Linked DNA regions of Caenorhabditis elegans. The protein of the gene in region 3 interacts with the protein of the main gene of each other region in a biochemical or structural test. Each region holds a gene or a part of one and is shown on either strand. Other genes may lie near its edges.

Evidence for each region. The genes of interacting proteins can lie anywhere in the genome.
Region 1: the proteins of ung-1 (region 3) and eef-2 form a complex in vitro, tested with the Caenorhabditis elegans proteins (one large-scale study listed by BioGRID).
Region 2: the proteins of ung-1 (region 3) and cts-1 form a complex in vitro, tested with the Caenorhabditis elegans proteins (one large-scale study listed by BioGRID).

Annotation. Positions count from the first base shown.
Region 1 is NC_003279.8:9,161,601-9,167,310, forward strand, and holds eef-2 (Elongation factor 2), read left to right. Parts: upstream 1-1,976; 5' UTR 1,977-2,053; coding exon 2,054-2,056; intron 2,057-2,348; coding exon 2,349-2,563; intron 2,564-2,609; coding exon 2,610-2,964; intron 2,965-3,012; coding exon 3,013-3,189; intron 3,190-3,235; coding exon 3,236-4,739; intron 4,740-4,793; coding exon 4,794-5,098; 3' UTR 5,099-5,210; downstream 5,211-5,710. Other genes in the region: clsp-1 (Claspin), read right to left, coding at 1-48, 463-645, 751-1,063, 1,107-1,169, 1,215-1,521, 1,566-1,661. UniProt on the Caenorhabditis elegans protein: Catalyzes the GTP-dependent ribosomal translocation step during translation elongation.
Region 2 is NC_003281.10:10,214,271-10,218,233, reverse strand, and holds cts-1 (putative citrate synthase, mitochondrial), read left to right. Parts: upstream 1-1,598; 5' UTR 1,599-1,616; coding exon 1,617-1,823; intron 1,824-1,868; coding exon 1,869-2,267; intron 2,268-2,328; coding exon 2,329-2,649; intron 2,650-2,698; coding exon 2,699-3,178; 3' UTR 3,179-3,463; downstream 3,464-3,963. Other genes in the region: rde-4 (DRBM domain-containing protein), read left to right, coding at 19-250, 295-415, 464-888; best-18 (Bestrophin homolog 18), read right to left, coding at 3,488-3,671.
Region 3 is NC_003281.10:11,970,936-11,975,989, reverse strand, and holds ung-1 (Uracil-DNA glycosylase), read left to right. Parts: upstream 1-1,899; 5' UTR 1,900-1,900; coding exon 1,901-1,959; intron 1,960-2,004; coding exon 2,005-2,677; intron 2,678-4,250; coding exon 4,251-4,367; 3' UTR 4,368-4,523; downstream 4,524-5,054. Other genes in the region: Y56A3A.31 (SOSS complex subunit A homolog), read right to left, coding at 1,464-1,484; Y56A3A.30 (SP-RING-type domain-containing protein), read left to right, coding at 1-358, 1,731-1,786; Y56A3A.28 (C2H2-type domain-containing protein), read left to right, coding at 4,632-4,724. UniProt on the Caenorhabditis elegans protein: Excises uracil residues from the DNA which can arise as a result of misincorporation of dUMP residues by DNA polymerase or due to deamination of cytosine.

The DNA.
Region 1 (5,710 bases), on a different chromosome or scaffold from region 3:
AAGCGGGGCTTGTCTGACGACACGGACGTCGAGTTTTGTGGCAGATTTCTTTAAAAAGATCTCATTTAATATAATTAAATCGTTTGGAACACAGAACAATGTTTTCGAAAGTGAATAAGCGATCGTGGACGATTTTTTCTTGTATTTTTTTTTTAAGATTTGCAGAAAAAACCACAAATTAGAAAGTCAAAAAAAAACAACCGAAATTTCATTTCTTCACAGTTGAGCTGTAAGCGCGCTCTATCGATAATCAAGATTTGATAAAGGAACGAGATCCAAAAAACCTCTCTAAATTTATGAGAAAGAATTATCAAGTTCTCTATTTAAAAGATTTACAACAAATTATCTTTTGTTTAATGATTTGATAAACTTTTTCTTTGAGAATGCGAATAGTTTCAAGGAAAAGAAAAAGGGCTCCAATTTCAGATTTTCCGGAATGAGATTAAGTTTTCTAAAACATACATTTTTCTTTCAGTCGTGTCTTCTTCTATCAACATTTGCAAAGTGTCTGGAAAACCAGCAGACTGTGAAACTCCAAAACTTCCAGGGCACAAATTGAGAATATCGTTGGATCCGCCAGTAATTTCCGTCATTGTCGGCAGTTGAACTACTCCATTTTTTTCAACAACATCTGCTTCGGAACGCCTAAATTTTATTTATAAAAACTCTATCAATCAGAGATTTCTTTGAAAGATCTGACACATATGTTACACAAAAACCGCAGAAAATAAATTTAGATGAAACACTAACGAGTCGAAATTTGAAACAGTTGATCCAGGTCCTGATCTCTTCACATTATTGAAAACATCGTAAGTAAACGAGTCATTCAACAAGTTCACACTCATTTCATCGTCGGCTCGGCCATTATTCTTCTCATCTGAATCTTCTTCTCCGCTATTTTCAGGTTCATAGTCTTCATCATCTTCGCTTTTATATTCTTCTTCATTCACAGGTTTCTTTCCCTTCTTTTTTTTAAAAACGACATCTTCTTCCTCTTCTTCATCACTGCCAGCCTTCAGATGTTCATTATCCTCTTCATACATTTTCCGACGTTGCTCTTGTTCTGAAAACTCAAAAATTGTAAAAATTTAACACGAAGCCGATACCTTTCCGTCGCTTCGCTGACATCGAAGCTTGAAGCTTCTTTTTTAAAGTCTCGCTGGTCAGAACTGGAAAAAGTAAGTTAAATCAGAATTATTACGAACGAAACTAACGGCTCTTGGGTGCGTTCTTCGATATTTTTCGAGGAACGGCGAATAATTTAGCTTCTTCCGGACTTTTTGCCAATTTCGGAATTTTTTCAGCATTAAACGTCTTTTTGAACCATTTGTTACTTGGGTCATCATCTTCATTTGTCAGGTCAATCGTACTATTGGCAGATAATAGGACTCTCCCAAGCTTCGGAACAGGAAGAGGACTTCGTTCTAAAGCCAGTGCTTTACGACGATTAAGACGACGAAGTTTTCGGTCTTCTTCAGCTTGCTTATCGACTTCCGTGTTTTCACTAGATATCAGCTGCTCCTGAAATATGTATTTCGATCCAGTTTCGGTCTTAAAACCATTACCTGGGAATCGGACATGGTGTGTTCGGCAACTAGAGAAGATGGAGAATCTGTATCGTCTGCTGACACGGTTTTTGTTGAACAGGAATCAGAATTCATCTGGAAATTAAACTAAAACAATATTAAAAAGAAGTTTGGAAAATTTCAGTCTATAGAGCGTGATTTTCTTCGGTCAGTTATAAAGTACAACATTATGATAAATGTAATGGCCCTTTTTTGACTTTATTAAGAAAAAGTTAAACAGATTTGACAATTTTTTGTAGAAAAATAAGGAAAAAATGGCATTAAGATTCAAAAGTAGGCGCGAAAATGAATTGGTTGGCAGAGCGCCAAGTGTTTGAATTGGCGCTCTACCGTACTTTGCCTGCACATCTAACAGATCTTGCTGGAGGAGTTGACAACGCAAATTTCTTTACTCTTGTCACGCCGCTATCCTCTGTGCGGTCCTTTTTTGTTGTTGTATCTGAAGAGAACCCTACAAAAAACTAAAAATGGTGAGTATTTATCCCTCTAATTATTGTAACTGTACGTTCTGATGAATTGTCGTCTATTATTTTCGAAAAAAATTTAGGACAAAAACGTAAAGTTTCAAAATAATTAAATGAAATTAGCAAATTTTGGGCCTACTGAGATTTCGTTCCCGGATATGTTAATTAAATTAAATTTCAACTGAGAACCATTCAGTATTATCAAAATCTGAATTAAATTATGGATTTTCAGAAAAAATTTCGTTAGGTAAAATTTCATAATTTTTATCGATTGAAATAATTATTTTTTCCTCTTCAGGTCAACTTCACGGTCGATGAGATCCGTGCGCTTATGGATCGCAAGCGTAACATTCGTAACATGTCTGTTATTGCTCACGTCGATCACGGAAAATCTACCCTTACCGATTCACTCGTTTCCAAAGCCGGTATTATTGCCGGATCCAAGGCTGGAGAGACTCGTTTCACTGACACTCGTAAGGATGAGCAGGAGCGTTGTATTACCATCAAATCTACGTAAGTTCATTTTTAGGATTTCAGCTTAAATATAATATTGTTTTAGTGCTATCTCTCTTTTCTTCGAGCTCGAGAAGAAGGATTTGGAGTTCGTCAAGGGAGAAAACCAATTCGAGACGGTTGAGGTTGATGGAAAGAAAGAGAAATACAACGGTTTCTTGATCAATTTGATCGATTCACCCGGTCACGTTGACTTCTCGTCTGAAGTTACTGCTGCTCTTCGTGTTACTGATGGAGCTCTCGTCGTCGTCGATTGTGTTTCCGGAGTGTGTGTCCAAACCGAGACTGTGCTGCGTCAGGCTATTGCTGAGCGTATCAAGCCAGTTCTTTTCATGAACAAGATGGACCGTGCCCTTCTCGAACTTCAACTCGGAGCCGAGGAACTTTTCCAAACCTTCCAAGTAAGCTTTGTGTTTCAACTGTAACATTGTTATATATTTGTCGTTTAGCGTATCGTTGAAAACATCAACGTCATCATTGCCACTTACGGAGACGACGATGGACCGATGGGACCAATCATGGTTGATCCATCTATCGGAAACGTCGGATTCGGATCTGGACTCCACGGATGGGCCTTCACCCTCAAGCAGTTCGCTGAGATGTACGCCGGAAAGTTCGGAGTTCAAGTAAATTGATTGTTGTATGTTAAAATTATATAAAATATTTTTACAGGTTGACAAGCTCATGAAGAACCTCTGGGGAGATCGTTTCTTCGATCTCAAGACCAAGAAGTGGAGCAGTACTCAGACCGATGAGAGCAAGCGTGGATTCTGCCAATTCGTTCTTGACCCAATCTTCATGGTCTTCGACGCCGTCATGAACATCAAGAAGGACAAGACCGCTGCTCTTGTTGAGAAGCTCGGAATCAAGCTCGCCAACGACGAGAAGGATTTGGAAGGAAAACCACTCATGAAGGTCTTCATGCGCAAGTGGCTTCCAGCCGGAGACACTATGCTCCAGATGATCGCTTTCCATCTTCCATCCCCAGTGACTGCTCAAAAATACAGAATGGAGATGCTCTACGAAGGACCACACGACGACGAGGCCGCCGTTGCTATCAAGACCTGTGATCCAAATGGACCACTCATGATGTACATCTCCAAGATGGTGCCAACTTCCGATAAGGGACGTTTCTACGCTTTCGGACGTGTGTTCTCCGGAAAGGTCGCCACTGGAATGAAGGCTCGCATTCAAGGACCAAACTACGTTCCAGGAAAGAAGGAAGATCTCTATGAGAAGACCATTCAGCGTACCATTCTTATGATGGGACGTTTCATCGAGCCAATTGAGGATATTCCATCCGGAAACATCGCTGGACTTGTTGGAGTCGATCAATACCTCGTCAAGGGAGGAACCATCACCACTTACAAGGATGCCCACAACATGCGTGTCATGAAGTTCTCCGTATCTCCAGTCGTCCGTGTTGCCGTCGAAGCTAAGAACCCAGCTGATCTTCCAAAGCTCGTCGAAGGACTCAAACGTCTTGCCAAGTCCGATCCTATGGTCCAATGTATCTTCGAAGAATCCGGAGAACACATCATCGCCGGAGCTGGAGAGCTTCACTTGGAAATCTGTCTGAAGGATTTGGAGGAGGACCACGCTTGCATTCCACTCAAGAAGTCTGACCCGGTCGTCTCTTACCGTGAAACTGTTCAATCCGAGTCTAACCAGATCTGCTTGTCCAAATCTCCAAATAAGCACAATCGTCTTCACTGTACCGCTCAGCCAATGCCAGATGGTCTCGCCGATGATATCGAAGGAGGAACCGTCAACGCTCGTGATGAGTTCAAGGCTCGTGCCAAGATCCTCGCCGAGAAGTACGAATACGACGTCACTGAAGCCCGTAAGATCTGGTGCTTCGGACCAGACGGAACTGGACCAAATCTCTTGATGGACGTCACCAAAGGAGTGCAATACCTCAATGAAATCAAGGACTCCGTTGTCGCTGGATTCCAATGGGCCACTCGCGAAGGAGTTCTTTCCGACGAAAACATGCGCGGAGTTCGCTTCAACGTTCACGATGTCACCCTCCACGCTGACGCTATCCACAGAGGAGGTGGTCAAATCATCCCAACTGCCCGTCGTGTGTTCTACGCTTCGGTTCTTACCGCCGAGCCACGTCTTCTCGAGCCAGTCTACTTGGTCGAAATTCAATGCCCAGAAGCCGCCGTTGGAGGTATGTTGCATATTTTCAAAACTTATACGTTTTTATATTACTTATTTATTTTAGGTATCTACGGAGTGTTGAACAGAAGAAGAGGACACGTTTTCGAGGAGTCTCAGGTCACAGGAACTCCAATGTTCGTCGTCAAGGCTTACTTGCCTGTCAACGAGTCCTTCGGATTCACCGCCGATCTCCGCTCCAACACCGGAGGACAAGCCTTCCCACAATGCGTGTTCGACCATTGGCAGGTGCTTCCAGGAGACCCGCTTGAGGCCGGAACCAAGCCAAACCAGATCGTTTTGGACACCAGAAAGAGAAAGGGGCTCAAGGAAGGTGTCCCAGCCCTTGACAACTATCTCGACAAGATGTAATTCTGTCAAGATTGTTTATTGTTAATTTTTCTATTATAATAAACACGGTTGTTTGTTACTTTTTCTCATCATTTTTGTGCTAATCCACCTCTGGAATAAATCGTAAAAATTTATTTGGTACGTTGAAATATATTTGAATGTTTAGCAATCTTGTACCCTCTTCGTATTTGTCGCAGCTAAATAGTATATTTAACTGGATCTTGTAAATATTTATATATTACCGCCCTAAAACGATGGCTTCATAAACACAAAAAGTTTAAAAATGGATCCCTAGGATTGGAAACTCGGTCTTGTAGGTTTGAAGTGTGCATGGAAGCCATTGTTCTGACGCGAGTGCAATCTTGGCCATTGAATTTGTTTCGGCCTGAACATTTTTCTTTGCGCTGCAACATTTTCACATGAAATTCACGTGCTCTTGTAAGACTATTGACCTAAAATCATGGCGCGCGGGCGGTTAAAATACCATTTTCTATCACTTGTCACCGTTGCCGCCAACAATTTTCGGCTCATTTTCACTCAGTTTTATTTCACTGCGAACTATCAAAACGGACCCATTTCTCTGATTTCTCTCCTGCTTCGTTCTGCACTCCTCCCATGAAAGTTTTTCTTCTT
Region 2 (3,963 bases), 1.8 Mb from region 3:
TATTTCAATTGTTTTCAGTGATCAAATATCGGATAAGGCTGAGGAATTGAAACGATCAACTTCAGATGCTGTTCAGGATAACGATAACGATGATTCGATTCCTACAAGTGCTGAATTTCCACCTGGTATTTCGCCAACCGAGAATTGGGTCGGAAAGTTGCAGGAAAAATCTCAAAAAAGCAAGCTGCAAGCCCCAATCTATGAAGATTCCAAGAATGAGAGAACCGAGCGTTTCTTGGTTATATGCACGGTAGAACTGCTAATTAATAACTCGAAAATAATAAAAAATTTCAGATGTGCAATCAAAAAACCAGAGGAATCAGAAGTAAGAAGAAGGACGCAAAGAATCTTGCAGCATGGTTGATGTGGAAAGCGTTGGAAGACGGTATCGAATCTCTGGAATCATATGATATGGGTATGCCTCCAAATAATTGTAGTTAATATTTAATTTTACTGCTTTCAGTTGATGTGATTGAAAATTTGGAAGAAGCTGAACATTTACTCGAAATTCAGGATCAAGCATCCAAGATTAAAGACAAGCATTCCGCACTGATTGATATACTCTCGGACAAGAAAAGATTTTCAGACTACAGCATGGATTTCAACGTATTATCAGTGAGCACAATGGGAATACATCAGGTGCTATTGGAAATCTCGTTCCGGCGTCTAGTTTCTCCAGACCCCGACGATTTGGAAATGGGAGCAGAACACACCCAGACTGAAGAAATTATGAAGGCTACTGCCGAGAAGGAAAAGCTACGGAAGAAGAATATGCCAGATTCCGGGCCGCTAGTGTTTGCTGGACATGGTTCATCGGCGGAAGAGGCTAAACAGTGTGCTTGTAAATCGGCGATTATCCATTTCAACACCTATGATTTCACGGATTGAAAATATTATTGCGTATTCCTGAAAAATGAAGCGTCTGAATGATTATATCCTTTTTAAATATTTTTTTGAATAATGCCATTCAGAGTTGAAACTACTCGAAATTATATTTTTGTCGTTCTTTGTGTTTTCTCTCCCTCCATTACTTTTCCTCGTGTCAATTCTACTGTGATTGTTCTTTGTGTGCCTGCCGCGTGGTAAGATTGTGTGCGAAACGTCACAGTTTTGTGCGTTATGGTTTCTATTTCTATGAAGACAATGTGCTCTCACTCCATCAACGGGCGGCTGTGTTTTATCATTACCTCCATCACTTATAGAAACAGTAAATACCAATGATGTTCTTTGTCCGTTTTCTCCCCAACGTGGTTCCATCAATCATCAATAGAATTCTATAGAAGATGCGTAATCTCTATGCCTCTGACCTCTACAAAACTCTTTTCCACACTCATTCTCTGCAGTGCACGAGAGCGAGATTTAGAGAAGAAAAGAAAAAAGTGTGCGGCCTGCGCGCCGCCCGTCCTCATTTTTGAACGAGTGTGGGTCGCGGTCGCAAATTGTTTCACCTTCACAGCGTAGTTAAAATGTTTCAATAAAATTTATCATCATTTTCAAGTTCTCAAATGATAAATCTCATCTGTTTTTTTTAATTGCGTGACCCGCCACATTGATATGACGATGCAAGTTTTCCAATTTTAAATTTTCGTGATTTCCAGGTTTAATCCGACCAGAAAATGTCGCTCTCTGGAATGGCTATTCGCAGACTTATCACCAAGGGAGTCATCCCTGTGTGTCAAGTCGCTCCACTTTCAACATCTGCTGAAGGATCCACCAATTTGAAGGAGGTTCTTTCCAAGAAGATCCCAGCCCACAACGCTAAAGTGAAGTCATTCCGCACAGAGCACGGTAGCACCGTCGTTCAAAATGTGAACATTGACATGGTAAGCAACTACTAGGAAGTTTAAATTCATAGTCTCTTTTTCAAGATCTACGGAGGCATGAGAAGCATGAAGGGAATGGTCACCGAAACCTCAGTTCTTGACCCAGAGGAGGGAATCAGATTCCGTGGATACTCTATCCCAGAATGCCAAAAGCTTCTTCCAAAAGCAAAGGGAGGAGAAGAGCCGCTTCCAGAAGCCATTTGGTGGCTTTTGTGTACAGGAGATGTTCCATCCGAGGCCCAGACTGCCGCTATCACAAAAGAATGGAACGCCCGTGCCGATCTTCCAACCCACGTTGTCCGAATGCTCGACAACTTCCCAGATAACCTCCATCCAATGGCTCAATTCATCGCCGCTATCGCTGCTTTGAACAATGAAAGCAAATTCGCCGGAGCTTATGCTCGTGGAGTCGCCAAGGCCTCCTACTGGGAGTACGCTTATGAGGTAAACATCAAAAAACAACAGCTGTCTCTTTGAACGGATGACTGACATAAACAGTTTTCAGGACTCAATGGATCTTCTCGCTAAATTGCCAACTGTTGCCGCTATCATCTATCGCAACCTGTACCGTGATGGATCTGCAGTCAGTGTCATCGATCCAAAGAAAGATTGGTCCGCCAACTTCTCTTCTATGCTTGGATATGATGATCCACTTTTCGCTGAGCTTATGAGACTCTACCTTGTTATTCACTCTGATCACGAAGGAGGAAATGTATCCGCTCACACTTCCCATCTTGTAGGATCTGCTCTTTCTGATCCATACCTTTCCTTCTCCGCCGCCATGGCTGGACTTGCTGGACCACTCCACGGATTGGCTAACCAAGAGGTACTAAACTTTAATTTATTCTTATTTTATTAAAAACAATTTTTTCCAGGTTCTCGTTTTCTTGAACAAGATTGTTGGAGAAATCGGTTTTAACTACACCGAGGAACAACTTAAGGAATGGGTATGGAAGCACTTGAAGAGCGGCCAAGTTGTACCAGGATATGGACATGCCGTACTTAGAAAAACCGATCCAAGATACGAGTGCCAACGTGAATTCGCCCTTAAACATTTGCCAAACGATGATCTTTTCAAGCTGGTCTCGACTCTTTACAAGATCACTCCAGGAATTCTTCTCGAACAAGGAAAAGCCAAGAACCCATGGCCAAACGTGGACTCCCACTCCGGTGTCCTTCTTCAATACTTTGGAATGACCGAGATGTCCTTCTACACTGTTCTTTTCGGAGTTTCTAGAGCTCTCGGATGTCTCTCGCAATTGATCTGGGCCAGAGGTATGGGACTTCCACTCGAACGTCCAAAGTCACACTCCACCGATGGACTTATCAAGCTTGCTCTCGCCGCCAAGAAATAAGTTCCCACACCTTGATCTTTTTTGTTGTAAAGTGTAATAAATTGATTGTTTCCCCCTTTTCCATACCATACATTTTCCCCACCAATCTTCAGTATCGATTGTTTCTAGGTTAGTAGTCTCAGGATAAGAGAATTAGAATCATTATGTTTCAGCTTATGAAGCTGATTTGTTCCCCTCCGTACCGAGATTCTCTTCAAAGCGTTCTGAGCTCTGATTGAAAATAAATCGAGTCTTCAAATTTCTTTATTGAATTAATTACAATTAATTTTACAGTACTACAAATCGGATAGCATCCAAAAGAGAACATGTCTATTTTTTCTTATCAATTTTATCAATGGGTTCAATCGGTGTATTTGTTGGCGAGCCAGGCGTCAGAGTTTCCATTCTGAAGCTTCCGGGACTTCTCTGCCGCTCCAAACTGCGTGACGAGGAAGCGTGTTTCATTAGGTTGAGAAGTGAAGATGGTCGAAGAATATCACCGATTCCACTTCCTCTAGATTCATTCGTGTTTAGAAAAAGTTTAATCCTATATTATTATCTTAAAGGCGCATGGTATTATTCAGATGGTCTCAGCGCGCAAAAAAGTTTATGGTAGTCTTTATTTATTTTCCTCGCATTTTACAATTAAATTACTTTGTTTTTAGCGATTTTTGTTTTATTCTTATTATTTTTCTAAAAAGAAAACAAAAAGATTATATTTTTTAGAAATAACCTGACTTGCGCGCCAAGACCCATCTGAAAAGAACTATGCGCCTTTAAGAAGAAATGCCAGAATCTTGTGAAAT
Region 3 (5,054 bases):
CAAGCCCAACCGAAGAAAAAAGCCACGCCAAGACGGAAGAAAGCAGATGACGTGGAAACTGTAGTAGCTGACGGAACAGCGACGATCCCGAAGCCGAAGAGAAAAAGGCCGCCGAGGAAGAAGCCTGAGCCGAAGCCGAATATCGTTTTTGAAACAACGCCGAATCCTCCGACAGAAAGCTTCGCAGCCAACAACAATTTCCAGCAGTTCCAGTTTCAAAATCAGCCTGGTAGTTGGACCTACAACAATGGATTCGGCAATGGATATGGGTACGGCGGTGGAACCACTGGATACATGGATAATCTTGTTGGCAGAGGGTTTGACACGGTTTCTCAGCAGCCTGGATTTCAGAATCAAGGTACATTTTTTAAAAGGAATTGAGAAAAATGTGCCAAAAAATTTTAAAGGTGGACTACGCTTTGTGGGGAAATTGCTTTAAAATACGCCTATGGTACCACAATGACCGAATATCATGATTAAAAAATTCAAAAATTTTTTCTAAATTTTATATGATTTTTTGAAAATTGGAAAAATCACAGTTTTCCCCTAATTCCTATTTGAATTACCGCCAATTGAATTTGTTCGATGGGGCGCGCTTGCACGTTTTTAAATTTATTTATTTTATTTTTTGTTATTTTCCACCGATTTTTAATGTTTTCGGTGTATTTTTGCTCGAATTTTAGAGAAAAAGTCAAAATAAATGCAAATTTTCGATTAAAAAGTGCGCTTACAGGCGTAAATCAGTGAAATTAATTAATTCAGGTTCGAAATCGTTTAAAAGCGTTACTTTTTCATTTTTACGCCTGTAAGCGTGCTTTTTAATCGAAAATTTGCATTTATGTTGATTTTTTCTCTAAAATTCGAGCAAAAATACACCGAAAACATTAAAAATCGGTGGAAAATAACAAAAAATAAAATAAATAAATTTAAAAACGTGCAAGCGCGCCCCATCGAACAAATTCAATTGGCGGTAATTCAAATAGGAATTAGGGGAAAACTGTGATTTTTTCAATTTTCAAAAAATCATATAAAATTTATAAATTTTTTTTTGAATTTTTTATCATGAAATTCGGTCATTGTGGTACCATAGGCATGTTTTAAAGCAATTTCCCCACTAGCGCTACCCCACCTTTAAAGGAATTGTGAAAATTGTGAAAAAAAAAATCAAAATTTCGAAAAAAAAAGCGCTAATTTTAACTAAAATCTCTAATTTTGGCCACTTTTCCGTGCTGCAGCGTCCGAAAGTGCACTTTTTTTGAATTATTATTCTTATTATTATACATTAAAAACCCCCGTACTCCTCCAATAACGCCAATATTATCGACCATCTGGACGTGACCGCGTGCAACCACGGCCTAGCTGCCGCCACCCCATTCAAACGAGACATTTCGGCGGGAGAGTCCTTTTTTTCGATAATTCGGATTTTTTTGTCTGTTTCAAGTAATTTTCGCCATAAAAATTACCATTTTCTTCTTCGGTGCCATTTCTAATGATTTTCCAGTGCGTTTTGAGTCTGAAAGTTTGAAAATAAGAGTTTTTGCACAAAAATGTGTGAGAAAAGTTCAAGAAAATCGTCGAAAAATTCAATAAATTAATTTTAAAATTTAAAAAAAAATTAATTTTTTTTAAAAATCAATTCTGTGCATACACCGCCACGCAAAAGTGCACACAATTACCTACCGTAGTCAATGCGAAATTAAATGATTTTTATCGATTTTCTTCATTTTCAGGTTACGAATTCACCGGTTTGCCTGCAAATAACTCGAATAATTTCCCATTTTTGTGATTTAATTTTTCAAATATCCTTATCTATGCCCTCAGGTTTATTTTATCTCATTTCCACTCGTGTTTTTTGAATAAAAATTCTTTTTTTTTCTTCTAGATTTCCGTTTATTTCAGAATGTCGAAGACTGTAAGAATTCCGGACATGTTCCTCAAAGCATCCGCTGCCTCTAAACGGTATTTCCCGCTCTGAAAATTCAAAAAAAACCACCGAAATTTCAGAAAATCCGCTTCAAATACTGAAAATATTCCGGAAAAAGTTCCCGCGGGCAATGAAAATCAAGAAGTCAAGAAAATGAAGTTACAAGCACCAGAACCAACTGAAATTCTGCTAAAATCCCTGCTAACCGGTGAATCTTGGTCGAAACTTTTAGAGGAGGAATTCAAAAAAGGCTATATTTCGAAAATCGAGAAATTCTTGAATTCCGAAGTGAACAAGGGCAAGCAAGTGTTCCCACCGCCCACACAAATTTTCACAACATTCAATCTTCTGCCATTCGACGAGATCAGCGTGGTTATCATCGGTCAAGACCCCTATCACGATGATAATCAAGCTCACGGGCTCTCCTTCAGTGTTCAGAAGGGTGTAAAACCGCCGCCATCGCTGAAAAATATCTATAAAGAGCTTGAATCCGATATTGAAGGCTTCAAGCGGCCCGATCACGGGAACCTGCTCGGCTGGACACGTCAGGGAGTGTTCATGTTGAATGCCACGTTGACGGTTCGGGCTCACGAGGCGAATTCTCACGCGAAGATCGGCTGGCAAACTTTCACGGACACTGTTATTCGGATTATTTCGCGACAATCGGAGAAGCCTATTGTCTTTTTGTTATGGGGAGGATTTGCTCATAAGAAGGAAGAACTGATTGATACAAAGAAACATGTAGTTATAAAGGTCATTATTTTTCTGGATAGAATTCTGGAAAAAGCATGGAAAAGTTGATTTTAAGATTTTTTCCCTAAAAATGTGTTGGAAAACGACAAAAATTGCCGATTTTCACCTGTAAAATCGGAAATTTTGCGATTTTGCTGGAAATTTAGGTAAAAATTGCCAGAAAACCTAGAAAAAAATTCAAGATTTTCCCATAAAATGGTAGTAAAATTGTCACTTTTCAGTTAAAAACTAAAAAAAATTCAGGGGTTTGCTCTAAATTTTCCCCTGATTCCGAATATCTATGTGAAAAATTGGAAAAAAACGTCCCTTTTATTGTAGAAAATCGACGATTTTCAAACGCGCGCCAGAGAGCCAGAGACGATTCTCATTGGAACGCACCGTGTTGTGTCGATTTACGAGATTTGTTTTTTTAAAGCCAATTTTTTGCTGTTTCTTCATTTTTTTTTTCGGTTTTTTGAACATTTTATTATTATAAAACTCGCAAAATTTCCTTATTTTTAGATGGAAAATGATTTAAATTCAGAGAAAAAAAACCGAATTTTTTCGATTTTTTCAAAGAAAATCGGAATTTTTCTTCTTTTTTTTTTTAAATAGAAAACCGGAATTTTTCTATTTCTTTCCAGAGAAAATCGGAATTTTTTCGTTTTTTTTAATTTTTTTCAAAGAAAATCGGAATTTTTTCGATTTTTTTTTTGATTTTTTAGAGAAAATCGGAATATTTTCGATTTTTTCAAAGAAAATCGGAATTTTTTCCATTTTTTCATATAGTTTTCCAGAGAAAATCGGAATTTTTTCCATTTTTTAAAAGAGAAAATCGGAATTTTTTTGAAATTTTTAAGGAGAAAATTAGAATTTTTTCGATTTTTTAAAAGAGAAAATTAAAATTTTTTTTTTCTATTTTTTCAGAGAAAAATCGAAAAACAGAAATTGTTTTTTAATCGAAAAAAAAATTCGAGAAAATTTCTATTTAAAAACTCCAATTTTCTCTTTAAAAACTCAAAAAATTCCGATTTTCTCTGAATTTACCTCCTTTTTCATCTAAAAATAGGAAATTTTCGCGGTTTTCTGATCATAAAATGTTCAATTGGCTCGAAAATACACAATTTTCAACGAAAAAAACCGATAAAAATGAATAAAAAGCTGAAAGCTGGCTCGTAAATCGGCACAAGACACAGCGCGCTTCAATGTCTGGCGCGCGTTTGAAAATCGTCGATTTTCTACAATAAAAGGGACTTTTTTTTCCAATTTTTCACATAGATATTTTAAACAAGGAGCAAATTTGGAGCAAAACCTGGAGAATCTTGTTTTTTTTTTTGGTTTTTAACTGAAAATTGACAATTTTACTACAATTTTGTGGGAAATTCTTGAATTTTTTAAAGTTTTTCTGGCAATTTTTGACATTTTCCACCAAAATTTAAATTAATTTCAAAGGGAAAAATTGATTGGTTTCAGACGTGGAAAATCGCAAAATTTTTGATTTTTGTGAAAAAAAAAACCTATTTTTTAGCGTATTTTAAAAATATTTCCACTAAACTCAAATTTAATTTTTTAAAAAATTTTAAAAAATTTCCAGACCGCCCATCCGTCTCCGCTGAGTGCTCGCAAGTGGTGGGGATGCAAATGCTTCTCGAAATGCAACACGGAGCTCGAAAATTCCGGTCGAAACCCGATTAATTGGGCGGATTTATGAATAAATTCTCCTGTCGAACACCCTGCGTCTCTTCATCTCACACACTCTCTCGCCACTCACTGAAGAACTCTGTTATTTATCGATTTTTCTATTTTCTCTTCATTTTTCCTCATTTTTTCCTCATTTTTTCGGTTTTTCATCATAAAAATTCGATTTTCTGGCCATTTTTTTGTTCAATTTCCAATTTTTCATTCGTTTCAACGATTTTTAAATGCTTTTCACGGAAATTGCAGCGAAAAATTGTTTTTTTAACAGAAAAAAAGAATGCGGCGACAAAAAACCGAAGAGGAACGGAGCTGGACTTCAATTTCTCGGCATTTTTTATGCCTTGAATGTAGAAAATATTTCCGGAATAAGGTAGAGAAGATAATATTCTAATTAAATCGCAGAAAATATATTAAAAATTGAAAAAAAAAAACCGATTTTTCCCAAAAAATATATTAAAAAACCGAAAAAATTCCAATTTCTTCTTTAAAAAAATTTAAAAACATTGAAAAATGCTAATTTTTCTTATAAAAAACGAGAAAATTCCGATTTTTCTCTAAAAATATATTAAAAATTGAAATTATTCCGATTTTTCAGTAAAAATATCAAAAAATCAGATTTTTCTCTAAAAATACATTAAAAAATCAGATTTTTCTCTAAAAATACATTAAAAAATCCGTTTTTTTTTTAAATTTATATTAA